Kluyveromyces lactis: one gene and its partners. The protein of the gene in region 1 purifies or fractionates together with the protein of each later gene. This does not show direct contact. Links are inferred from orthologs where the notes say so. Each region holds a gene or a part of one and is shown in the gene's direction. Other genes may lie near its edges.

Evidence for each region.
Region 2: the proteins of HSP78 (region 1) and ACP1 purify together in Saccharomyces cerevisiae (affinity purification with mass spectrometry; 3 studies listed by BioGRID, with this or other methods). This does not show direct contact. The link is inferred for Kluyveromyces lactis from reciprocal best matches to the Saccharomyces cerevisiae genes HSP78 and ACP1.
Region 3: the proteins of HSP78 (region 1) and AIM9 purify together in Saccharomyces cerevisiae (affinity purification with mass spectrometry, with the first as the bait; 3 studies listed by BioGRID). This does not show direct contact. The link is inferred for Kluyveromyces lactis from reciprocal best matches to the Saccharomyces cerevisiae genes HSP78 and AIM9.
Region 4: the proteins of HSP78 (region 1) and ACO1 purify together in Saccharomyces cerevisiae (affinity purification with mass spectrometry; 3 studies listed by BioGRID, with this or other methods). This does not show direct contact. The link is inferred for Kluyveromyces lactis from reciprocal best matches to the Saccharomyces cerevisiae genes HSP78 and ACO1.
Region 5: the proteins of HSP78 (region 1) and PRX1 purify together in Saccharomyces cerevisiae (affinity purification with mass spectrometry; 3 studies listed by BioGRID, with this or other methods). This does not show direct contact. The link is inferred for Kluyveromyces lactis from reciprocal best matches to the Saccharomyces cerevisiae genes HSP78 and PRX1.
Region 6: the proteins of HSP78 (region 1) and NFS1 purify together in Saccharomyces cerevisiae (affinity purification with mass spectrometry; 3 studies listed by BioGRID). This does not show direct contact. The link is inferred for Kluyveromyces lactis from reciprocal best matches to the Saccharomyces cerevisiae genes HSP78 and NFS1.

What each region holds. Positions count from the first base shown.
Region 1 is NC_006041.1:1,499,424-1,503,725, forward strand, and holds HSP78 (chaperone ATPase HSP78), read left to right. Parts: upstream 1-1,276; coding exon 1,277-3,754; downstream 3,755-4,302. Other genes in the region: KLLA0_E16875g (bZIP transcription factor), read left to right, coding at 1-726; YSP2 (Ysp2p), read right to left, coding at 4,087-4,302. UniProt on the Saccharomyces cerevisiae protein: Required, in concert with mitochondrial Hsp70 (SSC1), for the dissociation, resolubilization and refolding of aggregates of damaged proteins in the mitochondrial matrix after heat stress.
Region 2 is NC_006040.1:238,725-241,122, reverse strand, and holds ACP1 (acyl carrier protein), read left to right. Parts: upstream 1-1,242; coding exon 1,243-1,608; downstream 1,609-2,398. Other genes in the region: guanine nucleotide exchange factor DCK1, read left to right, coding at 1-926; type 1 protein phosphatase-activating protein SDS22, read left to right, coding at 1,985-2,398. UniProt on the Saccharomyces cerevisiae protein: Carrier of the growing fatty acid chain in fatty acid biosynthesis. May be involved in the synthesis of very-long-chain fatty acids.
Region 3 is NC_006039.1:661,919-665,845, reverse strand, and holds AIM9 (Aim9p), read left to right. Parts: upstream 1-1,520; coding exon 1,521-3,380; downstream 3,381-3,927. Other genes in the region: KLLA0_C07601g (uncharacterized protein), read left to right, coding at 13-705; PNT1 (Pnt1p), read left to right, coding at 3,659-3,927.
Region 4 is NC_006039.1:1,517,808-1,522,091, forward strand, and holds ACO1 (aconitate hydratase ACO1), read left to right. Parts: upstream 1-1,220; coding exon 1,221-3,587; downstream 3,588-4,284. Other genes in the region: 1-phosphatidylinositol 4-kinase STT4, read left to right, coding at 1-336. UniProt on the Saccharomyces cerevisiae protein: Catalyzes the isomerization of citrate to isocitrate via cis-aconitate, a step in the citric acid cycle.
Region 5 is NC_006041.1:1,802,407-1,805,275, forward strand, and holds PRX1 (thioredoxin peroxidase PRX1), read left to right. Parts: upstream 1-1,384; coding exon 1,385-2,134; downstream 2,135-2,869. Other genes in the region: SHC1 (Shc1p), read left to right, coding at 1-781. UniProt on the Saccharomyces cerevisiae protein: Thiol-specific peroxidase that catalyzes the reduction of hydrogen peroxide and organic hydroperoxides to water and alcohols, respectively.
Region 6 is NC_006040.1:421,751-425,326, reverse strand, and holds NFS1 (cysteine desulfurase), read left to right. Parts: upstream 1-1,284; coding exon 1,285-2,778; downstream 2,779-3,576. Other genes in the region: PET8 (Pet8p), read right to left, coding at 1-777; LEU2 (3-isopropylmalate dehydrogenase), read right to left, coding at 3,336-3,576. UniProt on the Saccharomyces cerevisiae protein: Catalyzes the removal of elemental sulfur from cysteine to produce alanine. It supplies the inorganic sulfur for iron-sulfur (Fe-S) clusters. Plays a role in both tRNA-processing and mitochondrial metabolism.

The sequences.
Region 1 (4,302 bases):
CCCTCTGTGACCACTACCCCGGTCGGGGCAGAACTAGGCGGTACTGGTCGTATCAACACGAATGGTTCTGGTAACGGTACGTTGATGGGCATGCAGATGCCTATGATGTTGAACAGCGGGTCTGATTCCAATACCAATCCAAATGCGAACGCTAAACTTACAAATAATTCCAATGGCGGCGGCGGTGTCATGTACAACGGCGGTATACCGGGTCTAAATAACATGCCAAACACGGCTTCTCAAAGAATGATGAACATGAAATCCGACCTTACGGATCTCCCAATGAACCCACCTAATAGTAATAATACCACAACCTCCACCAATACTATCAACGGTACCACGGGTATCAACTCTTCCACGACAAACGCAACAGGTAACCAGTCGTCACAGACATCAGGTTCAAACCCGGCGTCGCTACTACAAAACTCCACGACATTGGCTACTTCGACGTTACCTACAATCACAATGATAAATGACGGCGAACGTCTAAATACCGAAGGAGAATTAATTGGAAAGTCGGGAAAAGCATTGCGCAACACCAAGCGTGCTGCCCAGAACAGGAACGCTCAGAGAGCATTCAGACAGAGAAGAGAGAAATATATCAAGGATCTTGAATTCAAGGCAAGAGACTACAACAGAATAGCAGCAGAACTTGAAACTTACAAGGCAGAAAACAGAATGCTCAAGTTCCAACTAGGTCAGTACCAGCAAAAGATAAACCTTTGATGAATCACTGCACCATCGCTCTTAGTTCTAATGTAAATCTTGTTTGACAATAATTAACTCTTAACGCATACACGCATTCCCAATCACAGTTCTCACATCCGCAGTTTTTTCCCTTACGTATCACTTTTTAGTAAGTAATTGACCTGACTTCCTACAAGACATTCCAATTTCTATATTCAAACCTTTTCTCCGTTCCTGCTTGGTACTTTGCTTGTCCATAGTGAACACAAGATCCATATAACTCCCTGCTTTAGTTCCTAATCACGTGCCAAAATTGAACGTCATGTGACCAAAATTCCATGTTTTTCCAGAATTCGGGAGAAAACAACAGAAAGACCTCGGCGGTTGAGACATTTCGAAGTATATAAGAACAAGGGAGAATTCAGAAAAACAACAACAGTAAAGCTCAGCAAGAGGCATACAGTCAGATCAACCACTGATTCAGTTACGTTTGGTCAGATTGTTTATTAATAGCAGCCTTATTCAAACAACTACACAGTTTGCAGGTGAAATAGTGAATCAAGAAATTACAATCAGAGTGGATTAAATAATGCTAAGGTCTGCTGAAAATTTGAATCGTAAGCTAAGTCGGACGTCGCTATTAAAGAACGTTAAAATATATCAACCTAGTATATCTGATGTTGAACTTGGATGTACGTGCCGGTCTTTTAGCAGTTTGGTTCAAAAACCAAACCAAACTACAGTTGGAATAAGCCGGGGTAATAAAGTTATATCTGGTTTAAATATTGGTGCTAGAAGGCCCAATATAAGTAGTATACCGCCCATTTCTACTGCATTCAATGTCGCTTCTGTTCGTAGCTATGCTAAGAATTATAATTTAAATTTGAATAAAGATCAGGAGGGTGGAGAATCAGCTTTACAACAGTTCGGTACGAATTTAACGGAGTTGGCTAAACAGGGGAAATTAGACCCAGTGATTGGTCGTGATCAGGAAATATCGAGAGCTATCCAAATTCTTTCGCGTAGAACCAAGAACAATCCAGTGTTGATCGGTAGAGCCGGTGTCGGTAAGACTGCGTTGATTGATGGTTTAGCTCAAAGAATTGTTGCCAATGAAGTGCCAGAATCTTTGAAAGACAAAGACTTATACGCTTTGGATTTAAGTTCATTGGTCGCTGGTGCTAAGTACCGTGGTGAATTCGAGGAAAGGTTGAAGAACGTTTTGGATGAAATTGATAAGTCCAATGGTAAGATCATTGTTTTCATCGATGAAGTTCACATGTTACTAGGCTTGGGTAAGACAGATGGCTCTATGGATGCTTCGAATATCTTGAAACCGCGTTTGGCAAGAGGGTTACGTTGTATCAGTGCTACCACATTGGATGAATTCAAAATCATTGAAAAAGACCCTGCCTTGACCAGAAGATTTCAGCCTATCATCTTGAATGAACCTTCTGTTCATGATACAATCTCAATCTTGAGAGGTCTAAAGGAAAAGTATGAAGTGCACCACGGTGTAAGAATCACAGATTCAGCCTTAGTTTCCGCTGCTGTGCTATCCAACAGATACATTAACGACCGTTTCCTCCCAGATAAAGCTATTGATTTGGTCGATGAAGCATGTGCTGTTTTACGTTTGCAACACGAGTCAAAGCCTGACTCCATTCAAGCAATTGATCGGGCTGTTATGACAATGCAAATTGAATTAGAATCCTTGAAGAAAGAAACTGATCCCGTTTCTGTTGAAAGAAGAGAGGAACTTGAAAAGGATTTGGAAGTGAAGAAGAAAGAATTGGAGAGGTTGACTGAAATTTGGGAAACCGAAAAATCTGAATTGGATTCCATCAAGACTGCCAAGGAAGATTTAGATAAGTTGAGAACCGAATTGGATATTTGTCAAAGAGAAGGTGATTATGCCAAGGCTTCTGAACTAAGATATGCCAAGATCCCTGAATTGGAAAGAAAAGTAGCACTGAACAGCAAGAAGGATACTGAAAACAACTTGTTACATGACTCTGTTACCTCTGATGACATTTCTAAAGTCATTGCCAAGATGACAGGTATTCCAATGGAAACCGTTTTGAAAGGTGATAAGGACAGATTACTATATATGCAGAATTCATTAAGAGAAAGAGTTGTTGGTCAAGATGAAGCAATCGATGCTATAAGTGACGCAGTGCGTTTACAAAGAGCTGGATTGACCAGTGAAAAGAGACCTATTGCTAGTTTCATGTTTTTGGGACCTACTGGTACCGGTAAGACAGAATTAACTAAAGCTTTGGCAGAGTTTTTGTTTGATGATGAATCTAACGTTATCAGATTTGATATGTCTGAATTCCAGGAGAAACATACAGTATCAAGATTAATCGGTGCACCTCCCGGTTATGTGTTAAGTGAAAGCGGTGGTCAGTTAACTGAAGCCGTGAGACGTAAGCCATATGCTGTTGTATTATTTGATGAATTCGAAAAGGCTCATCCAGATGTTTGTAAAGTCTTATTGCAAGTATTGGATGAAGGTAAACTAACAGATTCTCAAGGTCACCAAGTTGATTTCCGTAACACCATTGTTGTTATGACATCGAACATCGGCCAAGACATTTTGCTGCATGATACCGAATTAGGTGATGATGGTAAGGTTAGCAAGAAGACTAAGAGAAGCGTAATTGAAGCTGTTAAAAAGAACTATCCTCCAGAATTTGTCAATCGTATTGATGATTTGATTGTCTTTAACAGACTATCAAAAGAAGTTCTCCGTTCAATCGTCGATATTAGACTCAAGGAAATTCAAGAAAGATTGAACGACAAGCGTATGACCCTAAATCTAACTGACGAAGCTAAGGATTGGTTAACTGAAAGAGGTTATGACCCATTGTACGGTGCTAGACCTTTGAACAGATTGATCCATAAACAAATCCTAAATCCAATGGCTATTCAATTGCTAAGGGGTCAATTGAGACACGAGGAGACTGTAAATGTGGTTATTGAAGATAGCAAGTTAGTGGTTAAACCAAACCACGATCCCGAATCAAGTGAACTCGGAAATGACAAGCAAGCTGATGTTGAGTAAATCTCGTTGAACACCCGCAATTGCTAACTCTCCAGCGTAATGATCGATATTCTTGACTTTCTGTGCGTTTCCACTGAATTCCTAAATTATGCACCCTTGTTAGACCGCCCCGGTAGTAATTCGATAATAATATTACGGACTGCTTTATGGCCAAATATTAAACTTTTATACATGTAAATACGTACCAAGATGATGCAATCAATATATGAGACATGGACTTTTAGGCAAGGTCAGCTCAATTGACCTCTTTACTTTTGATGGCGGCTAGAAGATATAAAGCCAAATGTGATTAACTATGCCTATGAATATTATATATTAGTTACAAATTGCGATTAAGTCGAGTTATCGGTTAAATTTGCTTTTTCTTTTAGCTTCATTAATTGTAACTCAGTTAATCTGATAACCTCTTTTAAATTTTGCTTCTTATGTTCCACAGCTTTGTTTAAAGGAATAGTACTGTTTATATTGTAATTGACATCTAAATTCGGTCCAGATTTTTTGTTTAGTTCCGAGCCGCTGTGTGAATCAATCCAATTCCATAGATCATA
Region 2 (2,398 bases), on another chromosome or scaffold:
TGGAACCAAGGTTGCAAATATCAGACGAGTATGCCACCAGTGACAAGAAGAATGACAATAACAAGGTCAGATTGTACGTAGAAAACAGGGATTTGAAAACGTTTAGCAGTTCTAGAAGAGTTGCTGGGACACACGGAATCACTGATCTATGGGTAATAGAGTATATTTTTGAAACGAAATCCACTTTCCCAACATTAATGAATAGATCCGAAGTTGTGAAAGTCACTGAGAAACGTCTATCACCAATCAACAACGCCATCAAGTCGTTACAACAAAAGATCCAAGAACTGAGCGGACTTGAAGACATGTGCTATAAACTAATGAAAGAAAACGGCGATTGTTCTGAAGTATTTTCAGAACTGTCAAGAAATATCACAGGTACCATTGATGCACCTATTAACGGTGGTATTGCAGAGTATCGTGTATTCTATACGGATGAAGAAACCAAATCGAAACTAGATCCTGCTGATGTGGAATTATTAGTTGCTGCGTTCAACGAATTGACCATTGTCCTAAACCGTTGTCTCGCACTACACGGACAGCTGTGTCCAATCAGCTTAAGCAAGTCACATACGCTTTTGAAGGACTTATTCGCCAAGAATTTCGAAAAAGAGATCAAAGTTAGCGGAATCGATATCAACGAGACCAACGACGAAATAATCGCAAGAATAAAATCAATCCAGTCATCTCAGCAAAGTTTTTCCAAGAGAAGTAGTATGCTAATGTCAAGATCCATATTCTCAGAGAGCCACTCTATCAGATCTGCTGGAAGTAACGGAAGTGCAACAAAAAACAGTATGCATGATCTCACCGTTACCTCTTCCCATAGAACTACAAAAAGCAACGCGCCATCTCACGCAGCGTCACATGCTACGAGAATATCTCGTCCTACCACACATATCAGCATGCTAAGAAGCACAAGATAGCATAGAATAACTTTCTCCCACTGCAACTGTTCTAATTCTCACCTCATGTAGTCTATATAACAATCCAAATACATTTAGGAAAACATCAAAACGTACGGAGTGATTTATGTGCCTAAGCAATTTTTCCCGGTAAAAAATCGATCAAAAGCCAATTCTTTGCAGAGAGAGAGTTTGGATTAAACCTTTCTACCACAACTATTTTCAACGATCATTTGTTGTACATTCTTTTTATTTTACATTCGATTATTTCAGATCGTTGTTACTGTACAGTATAGTGTCTAGTGATATTACAGAGAGATAAAGAAGGAAAGCAAAGATGTTTAGAAGTGTATTCCGTGCTGCCCCAAGTTTGACCAGAGTTTCTGGATTGAGAAGCGGATTTGTAAAGCCAACTTTTTCAAGTGCTTCCAGGTTCTATGCTTCTTCTTCTCTATCCAAAGAAGAAATCACAACCCGTATTGCTGATGTGATTAAATCTTTTGATAAGACAGCTTCTGCTACTTCGATTACTGCTAACACTCAATTTTCCAAGGATTTAGGATTAGACTCATTGGATACCGTTGAATTGTTGGTTTCCATTGAGGAAGAATTCGATATCGAATTCCCAGATAAGGTTGCAGATGAGCTCAAGTCTGTCGGTGAAACTGTGGAATACATCGCTTCCAGCCCGGAAGCTAACTAAGCAATTGGGATCCGAAACGTTGCCCTTCGGTTTTACCAGAATTTAATGTGGAAGAATGTACATATATTGACACACATATATAACTTATAATGAAAGATAAGATAGTTTTGATGAACTGTTTCATGGCCAAAGTGCTATATGTAAACGTCTATTTGTATATCCTTATTACTCCATATGTTTGAACTTGATTTCCATCGGGTCATATGATTTGTAATTCAAACATTTTTCCTTGCGCCCAATGATCACTGAGTTCAATTTTTAAGGTTATGTAACATGCAAACCACATCTTTAGACAGACGGTTGTTGAGGTAAAGACAATGGTTATAAACGCCATTTAGTATTAGATCCGAACCCATATACTTCCAATATATAAAAAATGAGCCGTGAAGAGAGAGTTTTGAGTGATACTGATAATGAAAATACGAATGAGGAAATAGAGACTGGTATTGATTCCCCGGACGAATCATCTTCAGGGTTGTTCACAGCGGGACGCTCGTTACAATCGAACGTCATAGAAGACCACAACCCTGACTATATATCTGCAGATGCAGAATTGGCCGCAGAGATACCAGATGACACCGAAGTAATTGACTTAGTGCATTTGAAAGTACTGGCGTTGGAAGACTTGAATTTGTTGAGATTTAAGAATTTGAAGAAGTTATATTTAAGACAGAATTTGATCGAGTCAATAGCTGAACTGGAGGTACTACCGTTAGAAAACATGGAAGAGATTGATTTTTACGATAATAGAATCAAACACATCTCGAAAAGCGTTAATCTTTTCTCTAAT
Region 3 (3,927 bases), on another chromosome or scaffold:
CATTTTTTAGACATGCCTGAGTCAACATTGTCCCTGGGGTCAAAAGATCTGTACTCTAATCTATCGTTGAATGATCAAAGTATGGATAATTCATCTATGAAGGCGATATATGAGGCAGACATGGCAGATACGGATGATAATGGATATCAAGATGAGGAGAGAGATGAACATTTGGTACCCACGATTTCGAGACCTCTTTCGAGGTCTAGTGTAACGTCAGGGCTATCTATGACGGCAACAAAAGATGGTGTTGAGGGGAGAAGGGTACAGAGGTATGGAATCCCACAGTACTCGCTTAATCTGTTGAATTCCATGTCGCAATCCTACTGGAAACCAAAAAAAAATAATGGGTCGAACGTTGCAGACGAACTTGATTCTCCTATTGGTCCACCCATGACTCTTCGAGAAAAGATTAAATTATTAAGTACAGACGCTTTGTCAAGAACAGGTGTTGAGGATTCTAGGTTAGACAGTGTTTCTTTGAACGGCATGTCTCGTGAGTCGCTCACGCCTTCGAAACTGCAACAACAGCCAAGAGAGCTGCAAGAAAACCTGTTGAATGATTTCAATAATCCCAACGTTATTCCTAGGGTAAATAGCGAATTGGAAACTAATTTGAGCACAATGGGCGATGATATGTCGTATTTGCATGACATGAAAAACATACCCTCAGTTCTGGTTGCTGCTGATAGTGACAACGATTAGAATACTACACACAAGGATTTTAGTAAACACACGAGGAGACATCTTCTTCAAAGAGCAGGACTAACTTAACAAAAAACAAATTCAAAAAAAAGCACACTCTAAAAAAAAAATCGAACACAATTGTAAAAATTAAAACCTCTAACGCCACAAGCGTTTCATTTATCTCCATTCACTTCATTTCAGAGTTTTTTTATGTATCTTCATTTCATTTATTTGTTGTTTCTTTCATTGGTTATCTGGAGTGTTGGATTATTTTACACGGAACATTTTGACGCCTCTATGTATTTCATATTATCACGTTTATTTACTTTAGTAATGTTGGTTTACTCCTAGTTTTAGCACCTACGGTACCTCGGCAAAGATGTGTCAGTCCTCATTATGCTATTATCTTTGAGAACTGAGTTTAAGTTTTCAATATCTAAACTAAGTTTCTATCATAAAGTGTTTAACTAGGAATAAATCATATACTTTAGGAGCAATATAACTAAAATAAACGACAGCCAACACTAGCAGTCCGATTTAATTGAAGAGTGATTACAAATGTCAATGATAAACTAATCAGCTCATTACATACTCCTTCTTCCTTCAAGGTGTTTGTCCAGGAGGGGATCTATACATTTCTACTTTGTAACGTCAGTCAATTTAACCTTATTTACCCTGACTCCGATGATAATAGCGAACAGAAATTAATTACAGTGCCAGTCACAATTTAAGACGTTAAACTGCGAACATTCACAGAGATATGTTATTGGATGACACTTAAACCGTTGACAGCTATACTCCTAAGACGCTAAGGTCCACAATTGACAGTGAAAATGTTAAGAATCGGTTCCAGATGCGTTAGAAGTGTGCCTAAGAGTTCGTTGCGAGTTTCTAGCACCAAAATTGGCAAGCTATTCGTTCGCTCAGTATCAGATAAGCCAGAAGAGGTATTCACAAAGTTATCTGATGAAAATGATCCGCAGAGGGATGCTTTCTTCAAATACTCATGGGGTACATGGTTGAAGAATGATAAACAAGAAAAGGAGAAGAGAATTACTAAGTTCTCTCTCGAGGGTTTGAACAGCGTGATTGATGATTTGTATAAGCAATCCATAGAAAACGCTAAAAGATTATCGAAAAGCAGCATTCCACCACCAGCTTATTTACCAAACTTAACTGTTTCTCTCCCACACAATGTTAAAATTGAGAATATCGGGACAGTTAATCCCAATGAAAAGATCAGAATTGTGTCAATGGCTAGCATCCATGAAGGTAAGCATCACAGAATATACAAAATTGATACCAACGCCGAAAAGTCCTTTGTTTTAAGAATTCCATACGCATTGGACGATGAAAATACCCTTGCTTACAGATTGAAGAGTGAAGTGGCCACTATGGATTTTGCCGATCTCAAACTGGGTCTTAAAGTTCCAAAAGTTTACAGTTTCGGTGTTAATGCTTTGAACCCTGTCAGACAGCCTTTCATTTTGGAGGAATATATAGAAGGTACGCTTCTAATGAGAAGTTGGACTCCGTTGGAGAATGACGCCGAGGATGGCAAATCTCATAAGGATAAGTTAAATGCTGTCATTAATCCTATTTCTAAGTTCCAGGCCAAGCTCGCAGAAGTTAAGTTTAACGCCTTCGGAAGTTTATATTTTGCCAAGGATTACAAAACTTCTGAAGAGTCGGCTTATGAAGGTGAAACAAATGAAGAATTAAAAGATAGATGGAGAATTGGCCCAAGTGTTGAAAGATGCTTATGGAGAAAAAAGTCTACTTTGAACTTCGATGACCGCAAACAATATTTAGGACCATGGGATATATCATCTCCTTTAGATATCGTCAAATGTACAGGATTACTGGAAGCGGAAAACGCTCGTGCTAGACTAGGTCTTGTCCAAGCTCACGCATCGCCAGAAGTTGTCGCCGAAGATATATTGAAAGATCAAATAAAGACTTTTGATAATCTTGCCAAAGTTGCCCCAGATCTAATTAATACTAAAACCACTTCTATTCCGAAAATGGAGAATCTTTTAAAGCCTCGTTTACATCATCCAGATTTAGACCCAATGAATGTTATTTTAAAAGAAGATGATGATGTTCCTTACTTATTGGACTTTGAAGGATCATCCATTAAGCCTTACATTTTACAAAACACTCCTCAATTTGTTGCCTACGATGGACCAAAAATCTATGACCTAGAAAAGGATATTGAAGGGTACAAGGACATGGAAGAATCGGAAAAAGCCAAACTTGAGTTCATGTACAAGCGTACTCGTAACCAGTTTTTATGGGAGTTTGCTTTAAATGAAAACTTACCTGAATTGATCTCTTCTGTCGCTCCACCAATCAAAGTTTTGAGAAACCCTTATGTGGCTGCCATCGAAAGAAAGTCCGACGAAGAATACCTTTTGATTGAAGAAGCTCTTCTTCAATTGGCTGAAGTCTGGCCGATCTTCGCTAATAACAAATTAGTAAATGCCGCTGAATACCCACTAAAATATTCCGAAGAAGAAGTCAAAAAGCATGCTGATGCATTGAACGCTTATCATGAGAAACTGATTTCCCAACCATTTGCCGCTACCCAAGGATGGATGCCACAAGATATGTTTGATAACCTAGTTCAAGGTGGCATTTTGGTAAAAAATGAGAAAGGAGATTACGTTATTTCTCGCACGGAAGATGCCTAAATCTGCGAACAGACTTTTCTTCTTGTAAATAAATATTCTGAACAACTCTATAGCTATAAATTTTTTTGCCTTCCTGGTTTACAGCAGAGGAGCGTTCTTGTGACCATCATTATATGAAATCAAAGAATGTTGGCCTAATTTCCTGTATTATCCAGTTTAAGCTATGAAATTCTAAATTTCCATTTATGCTAAAATAACTCCAACAATTACTATCATAATATCTGGCTGGGTTTTAATATGATATTGAAGTGCCCAAGTAAACAAAACGACTCAAGCCAATGACTGTGGCCAACAGGGTTGGATATATCGTCAAGCGCGGATACAGTACACAGAGAACACCAATCGATATATCTTCGAACTCTGCGTTTAAAGAATCTTTAGCTTCAAACGCTCTTTTGAATCGTCTATACCAACTGAATCAAAATGGAAAGATAGCTATAAAAGTATACTCTGACAAATGCCCCGAAACTAATCTAAATGTGAGTGCGACATTACCAGTAACACATATTCCTACTACAAAAATAACTGATGCGGTTAAACAGGATGA
Region 4 (4,284 bases), on another chromosome or scaffold:
CCCTTCAAGCTAACAAAAGAGATGGTCAAAGTCATGGGCGGTAGCCAACACACCCAGGCGTTCAGCCAATTCGAAGATCTATGCGTTGCAACTTTCCTAGGTATAAGACCCTACATGAACGTGATCATCGATGGAATAGTACCCATGCTAGAGAGCAGCTTACCCTGCTTTAAAGCACAAAAGACAATCAAGAACTTGAGAAACAGGTTTGTTCCGGGTAAGTCTCCTCAGGAAGCCGCCCAACATATGAGACAGTTGATCCGCCGGTCCTACGAATCGATGTTTACAAAGGGTTACGATGAGTTCCAAAGGTTGACGAACGGAATTCCATATTGAAGAGTGGAAAAAAAACAACAACAACAACAACAACAACAACCATGCCCGATCCTCGGGCATGGTCTCCATACCGTACCACTCTGTTACCCTGCAAACCGAACTTCGGTCATCCCAAGTTCGGTAAACTATTTTACCTTTTCCGATCCTCGGCCTTGGTCCATATCTCCACCGCCCTCGCCCCCGAAACAAAAACAAAAGCAAGGATGTATGGAGAAACCGAAGCCGCTCTTCATCCTTTTTTGCCTCGCCCATCATCGGCCCCTTCGACAAACGAGCGTAAAATGCCCACTGGCCAATCACAATCGGTCCTGGCCCCAGCTCACATAATCACCCGTACGTACCATTCTAAGTATCTCACCACCCTTTAACCGCGCTGCGCAGAAACCCCCGCGCCCTTTCATTTCCTATCCTTTATTCCCCTTTAAAACTCCATTTATTCAGTCGTTTCGACTCGTCCGCTACTGGCACTTCTACCGCTCGCTACTACAGCTTAGAACCATCATTTGGCTTTAACAGCTTTTGAAATTTTTTTTTTTTTTCTCCCTCTCTGGTTTATTCTGGTTTCATTATTTTTTACAGGCTTTCCTGTTTCAATCCCTCAGTGAATGATCAAATGGATCAAATGATGACTGTAAAAACAGTGGGCAAAGCATTATACCGTGATGTAATTTTTAGTTTTTTAATTAATACTGGCTAAATGTGTTGAAGATTTTGGCATTATATATATAATATAGCATTATCGGTTTGTTAGATTCTTCTTTTCCTTGGAGTTATTCAATTTGTTTCTGTATTTATTAGGTTCAGCGGTTTTTTTTTAGTATTTTCAGTTTTTAATAGTATTACATCTATCAAGGATTAAACCCCGCTTAAACTGCACTGAGATAATGTTGTCTGCTCGTGTTGCCTTGAAGAAGCAAGGAGTCGTTAGACAAGGAGTCATCAGACACTTGGCTACCGGAGTCTCTAGTACTATGACTAGAGACTCTAAAGTTCATCAAAATTTGTTGGAAGACCATTCCTTCATTAACTATAAACAAAACATTGAGTATGTCAATATCGTCAGAGAAAGACTAGGACGTCCATTGACATACGCAGAAAAGATTTTGTACGGTCATTTGGATGATCCTCATGGTCAAGAAATCGAAAGAGGTGTTTCTTATTTGAAATTGAGACCAGATCGTGTTGCTTGTCAAGATGCTACCGCTCAAATGGCTATCTTGCAATTCATGTCAGCAGGTTTACCTCAAGTTGCTAAGCCATTGACTGTTCACTGTGACCATTTGATTCAAGCTCAAATTGGTGGTGAAAAGGATTTGAAGAGAGCCATTGATATCAACAAGGAAGTTTACGATTTCTTGGCTACTGCTACTGCTAAATATAATATGGGTTTCTGGAAGCCAGGTTCCGGTATTATCCATCAAATCGTTTTGGAAAACTATGCTTTCCCAGGTGCTTTGATTATTGGTACCGATTCGCATACTCCAAATGCTGGTGGTCTAGGTCAATTGGCTATTGGTGTTGGTGGTGCTGATGCTGTCGATGTCATGTCCGATTTGGCATGGGAATTGAAGGCTCCAAAGATTATGGGTGTTAAGTTGACCGGTAGAATGAACGGTTGGACTTCTCCAAAGGATATTATTCTAAAGTTGGCTGGTATCACTACCGTCAAAGGTGGTACTGGTAAGATTGTTGAATATTTCGGTGACGGTGTTGACACTTTCAGTGCTACTGGTATGGGTACCATCTGTAATATGGGTGCTGAAATCGGTGCCACTACATCCGTTTTCCCATTCAACAAGTCTATGATTGACTATTTGGATGCTACTGGTAGAGACAAGATTGCTCAATTCGCTCAATTGTACCACAAGGATTTGTTGTCCGCTGATGAAGGTGCTGAGTACGATGAAATCATCGAAATCGATTTGAACACTTTGGAACCATATGTCAATGGTCCATTCACTCCAGATTTGGCTACTCCAATCTCTAAGATGAAGGATGTCGCTGTCAAGAACAACTGGCCTCTAGAAGTTAAAGTCGGTCTTATCGGTTCTTGTACCAACTCTTCTTACGAAGATATGTCCAGAGCTGCTTCCGTCGTTAAGGATGCTGCTACCCACGGTCTAAAATCTAAGTCTATCTTCACTGTGACTCCAGGTTCTGAACAAATCAGAGCTACCATCGCTAGAGATGGTCAATTGGAAACTTTCAAAGAATTCGGTGGTACCGTTTTGGCTAACGCTTGTGGTCCATGTATCGGTCAATGGGACAGACAAGATATCAAGAAGGGTGACAAGAACACCATTGTTTCCTCTTTCAACAGAAACTTCACTGCTAGAAACGATGGTAACCCAGATACTCACTCCTTCGTTGCCTCTCCAGAAATCACTACCGCTTTCGCCATTGCTGGTGATTTGAGATTTAACCCTCTAACCGACACTTTGAAGGACAAGGACGGTAACGAATTCATGTTGAAACCACCAACTGGTGTTGGTTTGCCAGTTAAGGGTTACGACCCAGGTGAAAACACTTACCAAGCTCCACCAAAGGACCGTTCTTCCGTTACTGTCCAAGTTTCTCCAACGTCTGACCGTCTACAATTGTTGAAACCTTTCAAGGCTTGGGATGGTAAGGATGCTTTCGATATGCCAATCTTGATCAAATCTCTAGGTAAGACCACCACTGACCATATCTCTATGGCTGGTCCATGGTTGAAGTACAGAGGTCATTTGGAAAACATTTCAAACAACTATATGATTGGTGCTATTAACGCTGAAAACAAGAAGGCTAACTGTGTCAAGCACCACTACACTGGTGAATACGCCGGTGTTCCAGACACTGCTAGAGCTTACAGAGATGCAGGTATCAGATGGGTTGTCATTGGTGGTGAAAACTTCGGTGAAGGTTCTTCTCGTGAACACGCTGCCTTGGAACCAAGATTCTTGGGTGGTTTCGCTATTATTACCAAATCCTTCGCAAGAATTCACGAAACTAACTTGAAGAAACAAGGTATGTTGCCTTTGAACTTTGCTGAACCAGCTGCTTACGACAAGATCAACCCAGATGACACCATCGACATCTTGGGTTTGACTACTCTAGCTCCAGGTAAGAACTTGATCATGAGAGTTCATCCAAAGGAAGGTGAAGCTTGGGAAACCCCATTGTCTCACACTTTCAACGCTGAACAAATCGAATGGTTCAAGGCCGGTTCTGCTTTGAACAGATTGGCTAACGCCAAGAAGGCTAAGAACTGAATAGATCAAATTTTTCAAGTATAAATTTGACCTCTTCTCTTCTTTTGGTTCAATCAACATCAAAAACAAAGCACAAATTTCCCTCCCACTTACAACCCCCCCATATTATTTATTTCTAACTCTTCTTTTATCCATCGTTTTTTGCACTTTCACATCTGCTCTTAGAGACCATTCAAATATTCCCTAAGATTTCAAAGATTTGATATCATCAAATACAATTAAGAAAAAGATTGATTGAGAAGATACTAGTAGTAGTATACTAGAAAAACCAAAACCATAAAAACCCTTTAACGAAAAAAAAAATACCAACACACATTCTTCATTTTATTATTATTCACCCTGTCTATCTCAACATTATCATTTTTTTTTCATATCATAAAGTATCATATCATTCGTATTATCTCTCTATCTCTTTCTTTTTCTTTCCCTTAGTATCGGCTTATCCGAGCTATACCATCGAACTTCACCAAAAACACGAAAAAGATGACATTACACACTTTATGCAGGATGTTAACCCACCTCTAATAACTTATTTATTTATTTTTGACGTTATGAAATACACATACATGCTTATCTTAACTACTTCTTTTGACTCATACCAGTTTGTTGCCGCTTATGACGCATTCGGCCGCATCTTCTTAGTAACAGCCAGACAAAGAATTGTGACTCAGCGCATGATATCCAACTGAAAACAGGA
Region 5 (2,869 bases), about 300 kb from region 1:
TGCATCACACGGTGGGGATCCAGAGGCTATGATGGGGTTATGTGCATGGTATCTAATCGGAGCTAAGCCTGCGTTTGTTGCCGATGACAATGAAGCATTTGAATGGGCGCTGAGGGCGGCCAAGTTAGGTTATCCGAAGGCTCAATTCACAGTTGGATATTTCTATGAAAAGGGGAAAGGATGTGAACCAAACACTGAAAATGCTATGAAATGGTATCAGTTAGCTGCTGATAACAAGGATCCGAGAGCCTTGAACAAACTGAAGATTAAAGATCGTTCCTCAAGAAAGTCGAAGAGTTTAAGTACATTTAATTTCAATTTCTTACTGGACAACAATGAAGAAAAGGGTAAAAGAAAATCGTTCCATCTGAATTTGGACCAAGATGATAAGCCGGGAACTTTTGTTGATATGGAGCAAAATCTGACGGATCCATCTAAGAAAAATAAGCGGAACAATTCGATACCCGTTGAACAACTGCAGCATCCACAACAAGAAACCCCAAGCACATTGTCTGCTTCACTACAAAAGCAGTCTGCGATGGAACATCAGAATACCCTGTCAGCTAGTGGTCAGAAGAGCTTACATGACCAGGATGTAGAAAAGACACCTAATTTAAGATCTCTTTCTGACCCCAAATTGGACAAGATCTCCATTCCTCAAACTAAACCAGCTCTTGGAGAAAATGAAAAGAACGGCATCGATTCAATTAAGAAGAACTTAAAGAGCAAGAGTAAACGTAAGAATGGGGAAAAGACCAAGAAAGGTTGCGTGATTATGTGAGCTAAGTAGAAATAGGGAAACTATCTACAAGCAACTGCATGTTTTTCTCAGTTTATTCTTAGAACTTATAGACCTCGGCCATCTCAATGTATAAATCATTGTATTTAAAATCTGGATATCAGTAAAATAGTTCGGAAAATGCATATACATCATTATTAGTATATCTTAATGGCAAAGAAATGACAATGGTTCATTTATTCTTCAAAGCATAATATGTTCTTTTCAATGTTTAAAGTCAACTCAAGGCAAGAAAAGATTAAACTTCTAGTTAAACATTGAAAGACCAAGAGGTAAATCTTACTGTCATCAAGGCCAAATCACGTGATCGTAAATCTTGGCCTTTTTTTCATGTCTTCAATTTTCAGCAAAACATACTGCATTTACCGTGAAATAGATTTGTAAAGAAACAGAAAATCGTCCAGTATATGGGGAGCCACAGTTAATACATTGCAACAACATTTACACCATATATAAGGGGAAGAAGTTCTTACTAACAAAGTTATACCATTGATAGTTCTCCAACTTTTTAATTGAACAACTTTCATCGATTATAGCGACATATTAGACCTGCCAACTCACGTAGTCAGATAAACACACTTCAAGATGATGTTCCAACGTGCTTTGCTTCAAACAAAGAGTTCTGTATTGCGCCAGCAACCTCTCAGAACTTCTGTTAGATTCATCAGAACTTTCAAGCAAGAAGACCAACCAAGATTGAGAATCAACTCTGTTGCTCCAAATTTCACAGCTGATACTACTGCGGGTAAGGTCAATTTCCATGAATACATTGGGAACTCGTGGGCTGTTCTTTTCTCTCACCCAGCTGATTTCACCCCAGTGTGCACAACTGAATTGGGTGCCTTTGCCAAGTTGAAGCCAGAATTCGACCAAAGAAACGTGAAGTTGATTGGTCTATCTGCTGAAGGTATAGAATCCCATCAAAAATGGATCAAGGACATTGAAGAAGTGTCTCAATTAGACAAGTTCACTTTCCCAATCATCGCTGATGTTGACAGAGAAGTATCTTTCCTATACGATATGGTCGACGAAGAAGGTTTCAAGAATTTGAACAATGGAATCGTTGCTACCATCAGATCCGTATACATCATCGATCCATCAAAGAAGATCAGATTGATTATCACTTACCCAGCCTCTGTCGGTAGAAACTCCTCCGAAGTGTTGAGAGTCATTGACGCCTTGCAAAAGGGTGACTCCAAGGGTGTTGTCACTCCAATTGACTGGCAACCAGGTCAAGATGTCATCATCCCACCAACTGTGTCCGATGCTGATGCGTCCAAGAAGTTCGGTGATTTCAAGACTATTAAACCATACTTGAGATTCACCAAGGCATAAGTTATAATTTCAAACCGTTATGTCCCCTATATACACTTCAATTAGACATGAGGATGAGGTAAATAAACTGTCAGAAGAAGAGCTGACCCAGCTAGAATTCGGTTGCAGACCATTGCTTACTCATGATTCCGGAGATGTTATTTTATCATTATATACGAACAATATTCTAACCACATACCTAAATTCCGGCCTGCAAACCTGCTTAACAGAAGCACTATTCCAACTGTGCTGGGAACGGGACTGAAGAGTCGAGAAACCTATTTGTCTCACAAAGACACTCACAAAAATAATTGTCCTACCCGTTTGGCTGCTACCTTTATTTAGCTTTTTACCCTTAAGAACGCCTTTTCTCGGACCTTTGACCTTCGAGAATAATACTCACATTCATTTCAATAAAGCAATTAGTTATTAAATTATAAAGTGATCTACTCCGCACAAAGGTACAATAAGATGTACAATTGAGATACATGGCGGAATGTAACAGAACGTAAAGTAAGGGTGCCGGTCTCTTGACCATGAACGTTACAAACGCAAAAAAATGAGTCGCATCTCTTTTCAGTTTTTAAAATCCGAGGCGAATCTTTCTATATAACACGGGCTAAATTTCAAGGAAAGACAGGAATGTTTTTAGTCTATATATCTAGGCAGAATGGGAACAGCGGCAATCTACAACAGTTAGTACAGCTATCTTAGCATATTGAGTATCCACCGAGGGCTACCACTAAGAATCGTGGT
Region 6 (3,576 bases), on another chromosome or scaffold:
ACCAGCACTGATCCACATTGTTCTTGGTCCAACACCACTGAAAAAGACCTTGACACCTTCTTCTTGCAACATAGTCTTGGCCAAATGAAGAGCTGAGACGGACTTATGGTGCAACATGATTCTCGTCTTCAACACATCTAATGGCGTCGTGGCAGCAGCAGCGATCCCACCGGCTATACACCCACAAACAGACCCCTGCCAAGGCGCGGCGCGCTCTTTACCTTGCACCTCGGCCCACCTCTTCTTCATATACTCATACAATGGGAATTGAATACATGTAAACGGGATTTCCCTCATTATGGTAGTGGACCAGCCACGGTACAGATTCCTGCGCAAACCTTCTCCGTTCTCATTACGTAGTAACGCCTGCAAAGTTTGCAAAGAAGAATTTGTCCTATGAGTCTGTGTCCGTTGCTTGATCACTTCAGCAGGAACACGAACCATACATGCAGAAATCTCACCAAAACTAGAAGAGACCATATGCGAAAGCGTATCTGCCGTTTGATCTTCACCTTTTGGCAAAAGCTGACCGATAACAGGCCGCGACCAGCACTTCATCGAATCATACGCAACGAAAAACAAAGAAGCACTTGGTGCACTCGCAACAACCGCGCTCCCAAGACCACGGTACACACCTTTGTATCCACCATTGGCGAAAAACCCACCTTTAGCTTGTAACCGGGTTTTCAAGGTGTCTATTGGGAAAAATGCCAGATCGGTCGACGTTCCTGCTGCGGCACCACTCACCAAGGACGCAATAAACATCTGAGAATCCATTTCGCACTATTCCCCCAAACTCCGATCTATAAAAGACTCGTCTGAGTCTGTAATTGATGTACAATTCGTCTTTCAAACCAGGTGATGGTGCAACAAATGCAAATCTTTAAATCATACATATGTATATGTTCGGTTCACTGCTCTGGCTTCTTTTTTTTTCAACATAGGATTTGAGGAAAAAAAATCGAGAAATGAAAATAATTGGAATTTGGGAGGGAAACACATCTTGACTAATGCAAGAATCAGAATCAAAATAGAGGAGAAGAAGAGTTTAGAGAGCAACAAAGGGTCTATATTCTCAGTTGCGTATTAGGAAATTGTCTGATAGTACAAGACCTAATTTTAGAAACAAGAATTGATTGATACATTCAGTGTACTTTCAGTGATATCCCAGGTTTTTTTGTTCATTGTTTTTAAGGACAAAAGCTCGGTTTTAAAAGGAGTTATAGTTCTAAGATCGTATACAAGTTTCAAGCAACAGTCTACTATCCTAAGATAGATATTGTAATGACGATGACATTGTTAAGAGGAGTGAGTGTTTTTTCCAGGCGTGTGCCCGTTGCTGGTGGTTTTGGCTATTTGAAGCGTGCTGATATTAGTAACGTTGTTTTACAGGGACGGACGTATGCAAGTGCCAAGGTTGCCTTAGCAGAAGATTTGACTTTGGAAACGCATACAGATAACCAAGCAGCAGCTATTGAGCAAGCCAACGAAAGAGCCGTGTCAAATCCCGATGTTTTGGACAGTGGTATACATTCTTTGCAACATGCATACCGTGAATCCGGGGAATACGGTACAAGACCTATATATCTCGACATGCAAGCTACCACTCCAACAGACCCAAGAGTTCTAGATACCATGTTGAAATTCTACACGGGGCTTTATGGTAATCCTCATTCAAATACTCATAGCTATGGTTGGGAAACTAACAAGGAGATCGAACAAGCAAGAAAATACATCGCCGATGTTATCAAAGCTGATCCAAAGGAGATAATCTTCACTTCCGGTGCTACAGAATCAAATAATATGGCTTTGAAGGGTGTCTCAAGGTTTTACAAGAAGACAAGAAACCATATTATCACTACAAGAACTGAACACAAGTGTGTGTTAGAAGCCGCCAGAGCTATGAAGAACGAAGGATACGAAATCACATTTTTGAATGTTGATGAGCAGGGTTTGATCAATTTAGAAGAGTTGGAAGCTGCGATCAGACCTGAAACTTGTTTAGTTTCTGTTATGGCCGTCAACAACGAAATTGGTGTTATGCAACCATTGAAAGAAATTGGTGAACTTTGTAGAAAACGCAAAGTTTTCTTCCATACCGATGCAGCGCAAGCTTATGGTAAGATACCTATCGATGTGAACGAAATGAAAATAGATCTGATGTCCATTTCCTCACACAAAATTTATGGTCCAAAGGGAATTGGTGCCATTTACGTTAGAAGAAAGCCAAGAGTCAGATTAGATCCGCTTATCTCCGGTGGTGGTCAAGAAAGAGGTTTACGTTCTGGTACATTGGCTCCACCTTTGGTTGCCGGCTTCGGGGAAGCAGCAAGATTGATGATGAAAGAATACGAGAACGACTCAAATCACATTAAAAGATTATCTGACAAATTAATGAACGCTTTGTTATCTATTGACCATACAATCTTAAACGGTTCTGCTGACCATCGTTACCCAGGTTGTGTTAACATTTCATTCGCATATGTCGAAGGTGAATCCTTATTGATGGCTCTTAGAGATATTGCTTTGAGTTCTGGTTCTGCTTGTACTTCGGCATCTTTAGAACCATCTTATGTGTTGCATGCATTGGGTAAAGATGATGCTTTAGCACACTCTTCCATCAGATTCGGTATTGGTAGATTCACCACTGATGAAGAAATTGATTACGTTATCAAGGCTATCACGGAAAGAGTTGATTTCCTAAGAGAGTTGTCCCCATTATGGGAGATGGTCAAGGAAGGTATTGACTTGAACTCCATCGAATGGTCAGGTCATTAAGCTGGAACAAAAGTGATCTATATCATAGATTCATCATTTTATTTTCTTGCTAGAGTGCATACCAAATCTTTATCTGGTTTCTCAATTTACATGATCTCCCGTTATAACTCGGGGAACTACTACCGTATATACTTTGTTCCTCGATTTCAAAGTACAATCATAATCTCATCTGACTTATCGTTTTTTCTTTTATCTTTCTCTTCATCTCAATATTATGATTAGATTGTTTTGTAAGCTTTTCTACCTGAAATATGCACCAATATTCAGAATATCTCGTTTGCCAGTTTTTATACAAGTCTTTCTATAGTTAAGTATAAAAATGTTATGTTATTAACGTTCAAATGCTCAATCACATCTGGACAAGCAAATTTCCTTGTCTTCAGTTCATTTTGGGTATGCTCCTTTAGATTTAACACATTGCAGGCTAACCGGAACCTGTATTATTTAGTTTATGCTACGTTAAATAAAGACCTTTCGTTCACATAACTGAATGTGTAATGGCCTTGAGATTTCAAGCATACCAAGTTGGTGGAGACGGGGTCGTTACAAAAGACTCTTTAAGCCAAGATTTCCTTGACAGCCTTGGCGATAGCATCGCCAACCTCAGTGGTAGAGTTAGAACCACCAAGGTCACCGGTTCTGACACCTGCATCCAAGACATTTCTAACAGCTTCTTCAAGAGCCCTACCTTCTTCAACCAAATCCAAGGATAACTTCAACATCATAGCTGCAGATAAGATGGTAGCAATTGGGTTAACCTTGTTTGCTGGTAAATCTGGGGCAGAACCATGACATGGT